Lytechinus pictus: one gene and its partner. Each later gene encodes a partner of the first gene's protein in a complex. Links are inferred from orthologs where the notes say so. Each region holds a gene or a part of one and is shown on either strand. Other genes may lie near its edges.

The links. Proteins that work in one complex are often made in the same cells at the same time.
Region 2: the proteins of origin recognition complex subunit 2-like (region 1) and origin recognition complex subunit 5-like are in contact, whole or in part, in a crystal structure (PDB 4XGC), measured with the Drosophila melanogaster proteins. The link is inferred for Lytechinus pictus from reciprocal best matches to the Drosophila melanogaster genes Orc2 and Orc5. Residues at the interface, in NP_731873.1 of Drosophila melanogaster: Asp438, Arg443, His468, Asn470, Thr471, Pro472, Leu473, Leu474, Trp475, Asp476, Gln477, Leu480, Trp487, Ser521, Ser524, Glu564; in NP_477132.1 of Drosophila melanogaster: Lys169, Ile382, Cys401, Asn402, Leu404, Ser405, Ile407, Ser408, Thr409, His412, Asn424, Ile425, Met426, Glu427.

What each region holds. Positions count from the first base shown.
Region 1 is NW_026974140.1:18,890,159-18,897,503, forward strand, and holds the start of origin recognition complex subunit 2-like, read right to left. Parts: upstream 3,007-7,345; 5' UTR 2,944-3,006; coding exon 2,805-2,943; intron 1-2,804. UniProt on the Drosophila melanogaster protein: Component of the origin recognition complex (ORC) that binds origins of replication. DNA-binding is ATP-dependent, however specific DNA sequences that define origins of replication have not been identified so far.
Region 2 is NC_087247.1:38,510,320-38,517,730, reverse strand, and holds the start of origin recognition complex subunit 5-like, read right to left. Parts: upstream 3,004-7,411; 5' UTR 2,775-3,003; intron 1-2,774. UniProt on the Drosophila melanogaster protein: Component of the origin recognition complex (ORC) that binds origins of replication. DNA-binding is ATP-dependent, however specific DNA sequences that define origins of replication have not been identified so far.

The DNA of each region.
Region 1 (7,345 bases):
CTGACATCGAGGCACAGACTGGAACTTCAAAAAAACGAAAAGTTCTCTCCTTCTACCCCCGTCTCGATCGGCCATTTTTGTTATGAATCGTAACAAAATGGCCGATCGAGACTGGGGTAGGAGAGAACGTTTCGTTTTTTTGAAGTTCCAGTCTGTGCCTCGTTGTCAGGAAACTGCCACTCGTTAGACCTTCATCCATATAATCGTGGTAAGTGCATAATTTCTGTTTTCACAATTCATTTGGAGAAATATTTCTTCTTCTTGGTGATACTCCTCAACGTTCCTATTACAGGAACCACCCGAGGAGGAAATGGGAGTGCGCACTTTGTTTCTTCTTAGTCCTTGTTGCTTAAGTCTTTGTTGCGAAAGTATATGGTTGCCTGTGTTTCAAAATTATCAGAGACTGAAATTGATTGGATGTCGGGGGGTAAAGAATTCCAGTCCTTGATGGTGCGTGGAATATATGAGTTCTTAAAACAATTGGTGCGAGTTGAGCACTGGATGAAAGATCTTCCGGATGTACGTCTGGTAGCTCGAGTCGCTGGACGTAGATAGTCCGACACCGGCAGGGCCAGGTGCCCCCCCAAGGCCTTGTGCAGTATACCAATCCTCGAAACTTTCCTTCTTGTTGAAAGGAGATCCCATCCTAACCCCTGCATTAGTTTTGTAGCACTGGTGGTTTGCCTATAGTCACTACAAACCATTCTGGCTGCCCTTCTTTGCACCTTACCAATTTCATAAATATGCTCTTTTGTATATGGGTCCCAAACGCTAGAACTATACTCTAAGATCGGTCGGACTAAAGTTATGTAAGCTGTAGCTTTTGTGAGTTTTGTGCATGATGGCAAGTTACGTTTAATAAAGCCGTTGACTTTATTTGCAGAAGTTGTGATTTTGAAAATATGCTTGTCCCATTTAAGATCTTGCGAGATATTGACACCAAGATATGAATGGTGGGTGGTTTCCTGTAGATCTACGCCACCCAAGTTATATTTGGTTGTGAAAGGTGATCTAGAAGAAGTTATCCTAAGAACAAAACATTTCTCTGGGTTAAGTTTCATTTGCCACTTATTTTCCCATGCAGAAAGTTTGTCCAGGTCATTCTGTAGTCTAGTAGCGTCATTTTGTGTTTTGATGTTAGAGTATATGATGCAGTCGTCCGCGTAAAGTCGTACAGTTGAGGTCAAGCCGTCTGGTAGGTCATTTACATAGATAATAAACAATAAGGGTCCGAGCACTGTGCCCTGCGGGACGCCTGACTGTACCTTAACCCATTGTGAATATTCCCCCCCTAATACTACTCTCTGGTATCTATTCTGTAGAAAAGATGAGATCCACTGATTAATCTTCCCATTAATACCATATTGCTTGAGTTTGAGGAGGAGTCGTTGATGGGGCACAGTGTCGAAAGCCTTAGAAAAGTCGGTTATTATTATGTCAGTCTGGGTCCGTTTGTCAAAAGAAAGAGAGAGGTCATGCATGGTTTGTATGAGCTGTGTTTCGCAGGAATGTAGTTTTCTGAAACCATGTTGACTTTTATTAAGAATATTGTATGATTCAAGATGGTTCATCACATGGGTATGTACCACATGTTCTTATATCTTACAACAAACAGAAGTGAGAGATACAGGCCTATAGTTTTCGGGTTTTGTACGATCTCCTTTTTTGTGGATGGGAGTGACATTGGCTTTACGCCAATCTTCAGGTAACTGTCCTGAGTTAACAGAAGCTTGAAATATTTTGGCAAGAATTGGCGCAACTTCATGGGAAAATTCCTTAAGAATACGAGGAGGTATATTTCATCCACCCCAGTTGCTTTCTTAGGGTCTAGATTCCTTAGGAGTTTTTCAATACCGGGGGTGTGAATGGTTATGTTACTTATGCCGGGAATATTACAAGGAGGGAAGTTTGGTAATGTCTGCAGGTTTTCAGTCGTGAAAACTGAGCGAAACTGATCATTAAGGATCTCAGCTTTCCGGCTGTTCTCAGAGAAGAGAATACCTTTTTCCTTGTCTTTTAGTTCTAGAATACCCGAAGAGTCTTTCCTAAGACTTTTTACGAAGGACCAAAATTGTTTCTTTGACTCTAAACAGAAGTCTCTTAATTATGTGTTTCCTATATGCAGACTTTGTCAATTTGTGAGTATCTTTCCTTATATTCCTAAAGTTTTCCCAGTCTGAGCCATCACTAACCCAGAGAGCTCCCGCCCGCGCAGCGGGCGGGAGCCCAGAAGCTTACCGTGTATTTTACCATTGTCACCGGACTAGGGTGATTTATGGTCTAAATATTTCTCCAAATGAATTGTGAAAACGGAAAGTATCCAATTACCACGATTATATGGATGAAGGTCTAACGAGTGGCAGATTCCTGACATCTGGAACCTCAAAAAAACGAAAAGTTCTCTCCTTCTACCCAGTCTCGATCGGCCATTTTGTTACGATTTTTAACAAAAATGGCCGATCGAGACGGGGTAGAAGGAGAGAACTTTTCGTTTTTTTTGAGGTTCCAGACTGTGCCCAGATGTCAGGAATCTGCCACTCGTTAGACCTTCATCCATATATTATAATCGTGGTAATTGTATACTTTCTGTTTTCACAATTCATTTGGAGAAATATTTAGACCATAAATCACGCTAGTCCCGTGAGTATGGTCAAATACACGGTAAGCTCCTGGGCTCCCGCCCGCGCAGCGTCGGGAGTTCCCTGGGTTAATATCATGGCCCTTTAAACTTCACCAAATTGGATAAGTGGGACTAGGGTGCGTCATTAAATTTGGGTCCCGAACAAAGATGAATGTTGAATTACCTGAAGCTTCTTCCATTATGTGGTGCATAACATCATCATTACCGACAAACATCACAGATATTCCCTTCGACATACGCTGTTTAGACTTTTTATGAGCAGATTTAGGCGTAGACTTGGATCTAAGTTTCGATTTATCCATGATTGTGATGCCTGATGGCCGGCTATCTTCTACGAAATTTGAGTTTTCGCGCACGTTGTTGTGAGTGGTGGTGGCTTTGACTTTGCAAATACCATTTGGCAAAATTTTGGGAGGCGACCACCATAGATAATACATGTAATAATTATAATAAATATCTCTATGGCGTTCATCAAGTTGATTAAAAAGCAGAAAATTGTGGAAAATATAATAAGGTTCTGGGGGGGGGGGGGGTTGGCACCAAGGCATCGTAGACGTCTTTCAGAAAAAAGGGGTTGCTTTTTCAGCACTATATACCATACTCCAGCAGCAAAAGCTATACATTACTTCAAGTTAAGTTTATGAAATCTCATCCACTTCAAGCTATGACGTCTCACAGCTAATATACCATCCCCCCATAATGCTCTCCCTCCCTTCCCGGCTCACTTCATCATTTGTCTCTATCTCTTCAGTTGTATTTGTCATATCCCGGCTTCCTATTGTGATATCTCTTCTCGATCTATACCTCTCTCACTCCCTTCCCCGCTTGTATTCCACCACTCTCTATTCACCACACCAGTCTCTCTATCTTTCCATGATCCCCCTTTCCCTGACCTCTACCCCCCATCTCCCCCTATTTCCCACTCTCTCCTTATACATGTACCTCTCCTCTCTATATTCTGCTTACCCCATCTTGATCTTCACATTTCAGCAGTTCAGGGTAACCACTTTGGGTTTATTTTGATTTATACATTATACTTCTTCCAAATGTTTAGATGTAATGCATATCACAATTCAAATAAAAGACACCCAGTACCAAAAACATATTTTTGTTTTAAATATGGTTTTTATTACATCAGTGACCACCTAGTTGAGTCAAGGGTTCTTTAGATGTAAAAAAATAACACGACAGCTGAGGTATACATGTTAATTCTCTAGCTCTTACTGTTAATTGACTGAACATCCTAATATTCCACTTATTTCATTTCAAAGAGCAATCTTTAAGCAAAAATTGCCAATTAATTTGGAAAAAAATAAAATAAATAGAAGTAAATTAAATAAATTTCATTTCATGTTTAAGATAAATACAGAATTGCACAAAATCTAATAAAAAAAGACCACTTTTCTCTGTTAATATGGTATAATCTTCATTCTTGAAGTTCATCAAAAGAGAGTTTTACCCCCCCCCCCCCAAAATACTGGAATCATTACAAGCTAACCACTGTCGGCACCCAGGGTCAGCACCAAAGAAGGTTTGAATTAAACATGATATGTCATACTCAGTTGGGTTTTTCATAAAGCTGTTCAAGCAATGATCGACTTAATGAATGACTGGTGATTCTTTCTTGTGGTAAATGAAACGCACCAGATTTCCATTAGTGTTGATTCAGTTCCTAAGAAAGGATCCCAGTGGTTCGTAACGCAGCCTTTAGATGAGAAACAGCTTAATGAAACAACTTTCAATATCATCAATGCCCATTCATGATCTCGGCAAACTGATTCCTCATCAGAATGCTCAATTTTAATATATGAGCGAGATTGAATATGCCCATTAAAATGTTACCAAAATCATAAGCTTATTTTTTTAATTATCATAGGGCCTTTCACAAGCAAAAATAATTGCCAATTAGGAACAAAAGGATTAAAAAGCACTCCTATAACCTTCCTAATTTCCAATGGATCATGTGGCCATTATAAATAATGACAGAGTTCATACTAAATCCTTTTCTATTACTTTATCAAAAGGTATGTTTATCAAGGCTAATTCTTCAGCACAGAAGCCTATAGAGGGGGTTGCCACATGACGTCACCATGGAGGACATAACAATGGGAAACATGTGCACTATCCATAAAAGCAACCACTGATCTTAGTTGAATGCACAGGTTTTCATTGTTCTCCTCCAAAATGGCTGCTCTATGGACCTCCTTAGAGGACAAAAAGTTAATAATCATCCTTGGTGAAAATGATAAGACAATATATCATTTCCATATTATCTTACTGAACAGAGCTAAGGAAAGATGACATTTATCCATCTTGCCAAGGAAGTGATAGTTTGTCTCATTCACTGAAACCGCAATTAAGAAAAGAAATTCTTTTTTTTTAAATGACATTAAAGCAAAGTTAAGTTTGATTTCTGCTTGGAGCATGTCTTTTTTTGTTTGGGAGCACACTTACATTGATATATTCCTGTATTTACTTAGGAGACCTCACAAAATCAGCTGATCCTACATTTGATTTAGCCCTAACCAGACCAGGCTAAGTCATACTTTTTGCTCTAATTCACTATAAAAAGCTCATAGAATGCTAATTTTTGGTGTAAATATTCTTTATACCATTGCTAACAATCACAAATTAATAAAAATCTTGGTTTGAAAATGAATTTACTATTTATTTCATTGTTTTATGAATTTCTTATGTATTTTTTTGTTGTTCGACCTTTTGTTTTTCAGAACCTTTTTAAAGCATAATTATGCTAAAATCAATTAATTTTAGCTGATAAAAGTGAATAAGGTGAGAAAATTCAATTTACATTGACTTTGTACAAAAAATTACGTTTTGGAGCAATTTTGGGTCTGACATGCACTTACATAATGTTGTGTAATTATCGTACCGCATACCCGGGCATCATAAATTTGGTCTCAAAAGATGCGCAAGACTTTAAAGTAAAATGTCAGCGATCGGTGCGGTCAAAAATTTGGTGCAGAGGAATGGTCATGGAAAATGTCGAGGCTGATTCACCCCCCCCCCCCCGCTGGATTAGGGTTAATGATTATCTTGGTAAAGATACGTGATGTCATACTCTTAAAGTGAGAGGAGGGAGTGACTCATTACACCCCCCCCCCCTCCTGGAACTGAGCAATAAGTTCCTTGCATGAATCTATACAAGTGATATTTATTGCATATTTTCAATTATTTGATCTGATCATAAAGTGTAAACATTTCATGATGATTAATAAAATAAATATATATATATATATATATAATACTAAATCTGTTAACGCAACATACCAGCACATTCCCCTTTTCATAGAATCAAATAAATTTCTTTTGATAACCGTATTTCATCAAATTCGTGCATTGGCTTATGAAAACCTGGCCCTAAGCTCTCTTTCATAAAACTTGTTATTAAAATCAAACTGCAAACTTTTGATATATGCCATTTCATTGGTTGAGAGATCTTTGTCATAGAATTGTGAATCTTGTCTGAAGTTACACAACTGGGAGGTCATGAGTTCAACCCCAGTTAACAGCTATGTCAGACCAAAAGTCATTCAAGATAAACAAAGTAGTTGCAGCAGTAAACACTGATTTCATGAGAAAGTCTGCGAAACCAAGGTTAATTGTCACTATATCATTGTGGATCTAGATATGATAGAAAACTTAACTTTGAGAAATTATGAAATCTTACACTGTAGATCACCAACACAGATAAGCACATGTGGGACAATGTATTATTGCTTGGAAAAACCTGACAATCTGCTCGTATTCCATGCTTATTTTGCTCATTTCTCATTAATTACACAATTTCTCCCACAATCCTTTGTCACATGTGGGACAATGTATTATTGCTTGGAAAAACCTGACAATCTGCTCGTATTCCATGTTTATTTTGCTAATTTCTCAGTAATTACACAATTTCTCCCACAATCCTTTGTCACATATTTTTGAATTTTGAAAAAGGACAATGGGGGGGGGGGCATATGATTGGATTCCATACAAAATACTTTTGAAATCATTACCATAACTGGCATTTATCTTTGGTTCATGTCAATCACTATGCAAAAATAGCAAAATGCAGCCACCAATGTAATGGAAGCACACAGATGTGGATTGGGATCTAGATATAACAAGTATATCATAATAACAATCTTGACAAAAGTATAACAAAGATATTTTGTTACACTACAAAATAAGAATAAAAATGAAGTTTTCAAAAATTTGATAGAAATGCATCCCTGAAAAATGATGATTATGCAAACTTAATTTAGAGTGCTTTCTGATCACAAACATGTTTCATCATTTATCTTATTTTTTTTACCTTCAAGCTCATTGATCATAACTCCCATCAATATTTTATCAATGTACTAATATTTCTATTTAGTGATTCTTCTTTCTTGTACCTAATATGAAATGTATCAAATCTTCTTTCTTCATATTTAATCAGAAAATTACCCATAATGGTGATAATTTTCTACAGTGTTTTCTTCAATAGGATCACATCACTTCTCTTACAGAGCCAGCTAGTGCACAGTAAGGTAGTGCCTTTTTTTATAATGGTATCTACACTCCTACATCTTAAAATATAATTCTCTTTCCTGATAAACAATCAAGATATCAGAGCCCTCAGTAATACAGTAGTACTGATAACAATGGTGGCTTTTATTAGGGTTGTATCCACCAAGTTGGGATGCTAAAGGCTCTAAG
Region 2 (7,411 bases), on another chromosome or scaffold:
TCAATTCACAGTCCAAAGTTTGATGTAATTTTACACATCGAATTTACAATCTAAGGATGTATAACCAACAAACTTTTAAAACTTGATATTTAATTATCAAAATACTTTAAACGATATAGATGAAAAAGGCATGAAAAATATACTTTACCGATGTTTAATTGGGTTGAACACGATAAAAATGGTCAAAATGGCAGCCAAACTATAAAATATTACAAACGAACGTCAACAATCACGAATGTGATATCGATATTGCTTTCGATATTATACGATCTGCTCCATATGCGAACGAAATCGAAGATAAACGATACTAGTTATACTAGTACTAGTACTAGTTATAATCGCGATATATCGATTCGAGACATTAAGTTAATAACGATAATGACGTCATTCAAGATGGCAACTTGCAAGAAAAACCGTCAGGTCAGGTGAAAATGTCTTAGATGACAGATTTCTCAATCATCCAGAGGATTTTTTTCAATAACTCCGGCCCAAGGTATGCAATTACTTAAGTTATTTATATTTCCCTGATAATGGAAACCATGAAACTTTCAATTTTGCTTAAAAAACAGTTTAAAATCTCGATCTATAAAACGCTAGTTCACTATACGTTGGCTGTAGGTACGGGGCCCCATCCCCTTCAGTCTATGTATGGTGAGTGGAGCCAACGTAGTTCAGCGGAACAACCAAAATACAGAGACTGAAGCTTTTGGTCTAACCGCAGGGTAGTGTGCTCGGGCCAACCCTCTTTGTTATGTATGTAAACGATCTGCCAGACGTTACTTCAAGCTCTACGCTATTATATGCTGATGACGCTAAGATTTATGCCAGAGTACCAAACCCTGACTGTAGTCAATCACTGCAAGATGATTTGAATGGCATTGAGAAATGGTCACTCTCATGGCAGCTTCCTCTGAACTCTGATAAATGTAAGACTCTTTATATAGGAAATAACAATATCCATCGTTCATACTCTAACGTTTTATGGATAATCGTTCACTGGTTGATGTCAACTGTGAAAGGGATCTTGGTGTTCTTATTGATGATAGTGAACTCACATTTCATCAACATGTATCTGCATCTATCCAAAAAGCTAACCAAATGTTGGGCATCATCAAACGTGCATTTGTGAACATTAAACCGGATATATTTCTGCCCCTGTAGGCTGTACAAGGCTCTTGTTCGACCACATTTGGAGTATTGTAGTGTTGTGTGGAGCCCTAGATTCATCACCGATGACAGAAGAATTGAATCTGTACAACGTAGAGCAACAAGACTATTTCCAGGATTTAACTCCTTATCTTATGAGTGACTGAAAGACTTGTTAGACTGAATCTGTACTCCTTACATTACCGCAGAGAATGAGGGGACATGATACAAAATTACAACAAGTATTTAAAATATTACATGGTATAGGAGATAGAGTCGACACAGAATCCCTCTTCATGAGGTCTCATACTAGTATCAGGGAACAAGAGGTCATCCCTTCAAACTGTTCACAACTCACTGTCGGTTGAATGCCCGCAGCAGCTTTTTCAGTAAAAGAGTGATTCAATCCTGGAATAGTTTGCCTGCAACACTAGTATTATAATGTCCTCCAGCATCAACTCATTATTATTTTAAACACGGATTAGATTCTTTTTGGTCAAGCAAACATTTTGAAATTGTCTGACATCCACGCCCGCGCGCACTGAACTTAGAGTTAGACTTAGAGTAACCCAGAGAGCTCCCGCCCGCGCAGCGGGCGGGAGCCCAGAAGCTTACCGTGTATTTGACCATATTCACCGGACTAGGGTGATTTATGGTCTAAATATTTCTCCAAATGAATTGTGGAAACAGAAAGTATACAATTACCACGATTATATGGATGAAGGTCTAACGAGTGGCAGTTTCCTGACATCTGGGCACAGACTGGAACCTCAAAAAAACGAAAAGTTCTCTCCTTCTACCCCCGTTTCGATCGGCCATTTTTGTTAAAAATCGTAACAAAATGGCCGATCGAGACTGGGGTAGAGGACAGAACTTTTCGGTTTTTTTAGGTTCCAGTCTGTGCCCAGATGTCAGGAAACTGCCACTCGTTAGACCTTCATCCATATAATCGTGGTAATTGTATACTTTCTGTTTTCACAATTCATTTGGAGAAATATTTAGACCATAAATCACCCTAGTCCGCTGAATATGGTCAAATACACGGTAAGCTTCTGGGCTCCCGCCCGCGCAGCGGGCGGGAGCTCTCTGGGTTAGACTTAGACCAAAAGCTTCAGTCTCTGTTATGTTGGTTGTTCAGCTGAACTCCGTTGGCTTCACTCACCAAATACAGAGACCGAAGTTCTAGCGCGATCTGTACAGGGGACTCAATGGCCATATGTTTATGTACTTAAGAGCGGATAAAACGGGGAAGTGAATTTGCGCGACAGCCGAGATAAGTCACTGTTTTTGTTTCTTTTAACTTGATTTTTCTCTGTTTTTTGGCAATTAATGCCAAGAGGGAATATTAATTTGCATTTTGGTCGCGTTAATTTTCAAAAATTTTATTTATTAAAGACAAAAATTGAAGAGCCCCGACGGGGGGATTTTGCATTGCAAGTCCCCTAATGGTGGCTGCACGATAGCGAGCCGTCTGTGTATGAGGAGAAATTAAAAAAATAAAAAAATGTTAAAAAACTCCTCGAAACAGACGGCTGCCAGCTGTCTAGGTTAGACTTAGAGTAGACTTTAATTATGCATCAAGTGTTTACGACCGGGAGATCTACAGGACTATATAGTATATTACCTACCCTCCCGTACAGATGATGATGATGATGATGGAAAGATGTCAGATCTGACAACTTGTCGGATGAAAATATTGATGAAACGCTCCCCCGGTATACCGTATTACCGTAATATAATGTGTGTGCCGCTCTAGCTCTAGCTCTCGATCGACCTCGGCCGCGCTCACAATCAAATGGCGCGCCACGGTACCGAGTATATAGTACGGTACGAGGCTCTGGCTAGCGCTAGTGCTGATTTGGCTGGCTATATGGGGCCGATTGCACGAAAGGGTCTTTCCAAGGACCGTCTTTCGTGTCGCCCATATTTTATGATACGCCATGTGAAACGCATTTCAAATAAATTATCTGCAAATATATTTTATTTGTCCGTCAAAATAAACAAAATATTTGTATATAAAATGATGTGATATCCCATGAAATTGTATAAAATTTGATTTAAAAGCAAGCTTACGAATTTTATTTGTTTATCATAAATTTCCGAATCGCCCCGCTTATAGCGCATCATAAAAGATGGGCGACACGAAAGACGGTCCTTGGAAAGACCCTTTCGTGCAATCGCCCCCTGCTCTGCGCATATTGCTTCCTAGGGCCGATTGCACGAAAGGGTCTTTCCAAGGACCGTCTTTCGTGTCGCCCATCTTTTATGATGCGCTATAAGCGGGGTGTTTCTGAAATTTATGATAAACAAATAAAATTCGTAAGCTTGCTTTTAAATCAAATTTTATACAATTTCATGAGATATCACATCATTTTATAAACAAATATATTGTTTAATTTAACGGACAAATAAAATATATTTGCAGATAATTTATTTGAAATGCGTTTCACATGGCGTATCATAAAAGATGGGCGACACGAAAGACGGTCCTTGGAAAGACCCTTTCGTGCAATCGGCCCCTAGTTTTTAGGCTAGGCGGAAGTACCGTACGCATACGGGCGGTGCATGCACGAGAAGACTGTCTCTCCACATCCGAAGCCAATGATTGTCTAACATTTGCTGTTTGATTTATCTAACTTCGAAGTTCCAGCTAGGGTAATTGTTGGTGATAATTGAGGAGAAGGAATTAATAAGAAAGGTAAACAAATACCACACTGAAACTACCGTAAATGATTGAGGTACCAGTGTCGGCAGTGATCTACTCTCACTCAACAATCAAGTACCGGTACCGTATATAGAATATACTCCGACCGTGATTTCGCTCATGTGATACGTAAGTATATGTGTCACGGAATCGTGGTTATACACACTCACCTGCGTGCGAAAGGAATTGCACACGCTGTAAATAAAGACGGACTCCTGAGGGGAAGTTATTGACTCGGGCTCCATCGATGTATTCAAATTAATTATTAAAGGGATGGTCCGGGCTGGAAATATTTATATCTTAATACATAGAATATAATTCACTGAGAAAAATGCCGGAAATTTCATCAAAATCGGACAACAAATAATAAGTTATTGAAGTTTAAATAAAGTTTAGCAATATAAAATAATAATTTTGTGAAAACAGTCGTCATGAATATTTATTAATAATATTAGGTGGGCTGATGATGTCACATCCCCATTTTCCGTTTTCTTACGTTATTACATAAAGGCAAAATCGTGATATAGGCCCCGCTCGAGAAAAACTTGTAATCGATTATACTACCTCAATATCTAGGTTGCTAACTTCAGCTCACTATATATACTCGTGATATAGGCCCCGCTGCTGTGTTGAATAGCTTAGAATGTCAGTTTGCGGGGCCTGTTTCACGAGTATAGTACTATAACCGTTATATAGGCCCCGCACTACGGCACTTCAGACACTCCAACACAGTAGCGGGGCCTATATATCACGAGTATATAATAAGCTTGCATCCTAAGATAGTCGCGAAACTGGCCCCGTCCAATGCGCTTGTCCCAGCATTCGCACGTGTGTGGGGCTCGGATGACGGCTATAGTAGTATACTCGTTATCGAGGCCCCTTACGCTGTTATATAATGGAAAATAACGTGGTCGTGGGGCTTGTTTCCCCTGCCGGTGAGAATTATCATGGGCGGCGCTGTAGGGGGGAGGGGGGCCCTTCAATTTATTTTCCAAATAAACAAGGAAAGAATATCATGGGCGGCGCTGCAGGAGGCGGGGGGGGGGCTCCAATTTATTTTCCAAATAAACAATTAAGGAGATATAATAATTTACTTCTTCAGAAATTTATTTGTCGATTTATTTATATTTATTCATTAATCATTTAATTCATTTGTTTTCAGTTATTTTTTTCTTTTGTGATATAGAGAGTCAGAGTTAGGTATCATTCGTTTTTAATTCTTTTTATGTGTGGAAGTTCATTTAATTTATTTATCAATCTATTTTAATTGTTTAATTAATGTATTTATATTTATTCATTAATCATTGTGATATAGAGAGTCAGAGTTAGGTATCATTCGCTTTTAATTCTTTTTATGTGTGGAAGTTCATTTAATTTATTTATCAATCTATTTTAATTGTTTGATTAATGTATTTATATTTATTCATTAATCATTTAATTTATTTGTTATATTTTCATCTTTTTGTTATCTGAGGTCTTATGTTGATACAGGGCCATACATTTCATTTATTTTTCATTTATTTCTATTCATTCTGTAAGTTATAATGGCTATACAAAATGAAGACGGCACTCATTGTAAAGCTTAGAATATCTTCTCTTTCACCTGGTATCCTTAGAAGATTCCTCGATCATTCAGGCATGAATGACTTTGAAAATTTGAAGAAAGTATAATCTGAATTTAAAAATTATCGTTTACCTTCTTTGAATTAGTCGTAGTTGAAGGGTGTTATAACCTTATTTTTCGTTACATAAAAGGAATTTATATTTTGTTTAAAGGTCAAGTTCACCCCAGAAAAAATGTTGATTTGAATAAATAGAGATATATCAAACTAGCATAACGCTGGAAATTTCATCTAAATCGGATGTAAAATAAGAAAGTTGTGATATTTTTAAAGTTTCGCTTATTTTTCACAAAAAAGTGATATAGGCCCTATATGCACAACTCATTTGCATGCAAATGATACAGTTCCGGCCTCGCTATTTTTTTTTTTTTAATTATACAATATTTCATTTTTCACATTTTTTACAATAAGGGCCAACGTGAATGAACCATATGTTCAGGGAGAAATTGTTGCACTTGACAATGAGAAGAAAATGGGAGAATATCATATTTCATATAATACAATACTAAAGAAATAGTGAGTGGATGGCGTCATCAGTTTCCTCATTTGCATACCGACCTGGATGTGCATATGTAACTATTATTTCAAATTAAACTAAACTTCAAAATGTGATAACTTTCTTATTTTATCTGATTTTGATGAAATTTTCAGCGTTATGATCGTTTGATTTTCCTCTTTTTATTCAAATCAACTTTTTTGTTGGGGTGGACTTGTCCTTTAAATTAAACAATTGATGTATTTGTTTGTATTAAACTTTTTGTTTTATTTGATGTAAGACCAACCATTATCGTTAATTTCTCTTTTTACTTATGGATTTGATCTCTCTGTATACCATATATTATTATATATATAAACAAATATATTTTGTTACCTCACTGAAGCCAATACGTGAAACGTTAGAGAGAGAGAGAGTGGGAGAGAGAGGCTTAATGCATCACTATTTCAAGTTCTCCTTCGTATTGTTTAACTTATTCATTTCCTGGTTTATTCATATATTCATTTATTCGTTCACGTTTGCACTGTTTGGGGAAAAAATGTTGTCTATTAATTGACACGAATGGCCTACCCTTAAAGGGGGCAGTTTACCCTGACGCAAAGTTGATGATAATTAAAGCAGAAACATAGAAAAATATTCTTAAACTAAACGTTTGATGAAAATATATATTTTGTTGATTGTCACGCACTTCGGTTAAGAAGTTCGATATTCTCTAATCAAATATTGTCATTCTCATACTTAAATTAGTTTTTATCATATGAAATAGTACTCTACTCATTTATGTAATGAATGTCTTGCTAAGATCAATTGTGAATGTCACTTTCACTTGCCCAGTAACCTGCACAATCAAGGTACTAATGGATAATTTGTTTTTCTGTTCCAATCATGTAGAAGCGGAAACGGAAATCAGCCCCTTAGTTTGGTTTTTGAAAACACAAAAACGAAATCACAACGAGAAAAACGTGTTGTGATTTGGCATTTGTATATAAAAAAACAATGAAATTAGAAATACTTTTGTGCTTTATCTGGTTTCTCATTCTAAATTTGTGTTTATATATATAAAAAAAAACAATATCAGAACATGCCACGATTCATGACCTCACTGTCAACTAAGAATGTACGATGCAACTGCATGACAAACAGCGCCTATAGAATTGTTGGATGTCGCCTAGCAACAGGGTGCTATGTAAGTGGTAATTAAACTACATGTAAATCAATGTAAAATAATGATATTTACAGATGAAGTAAAGTGTTGAACAAGATGCCCCCCCCCCCCCTCTCTCACTCCTACATGTCAGCAGTGCTTAAAAACATACCCTTTTCGTGTCGATATATATCAACAAACTTCATCTCGAACTTCGATCGCATTCGCATCCTATTTTCAAGTGTGAAAAAAATTCAGCTCGCGCTCCTCTTTCATATCCTGTTCATGCGTCACTGTAA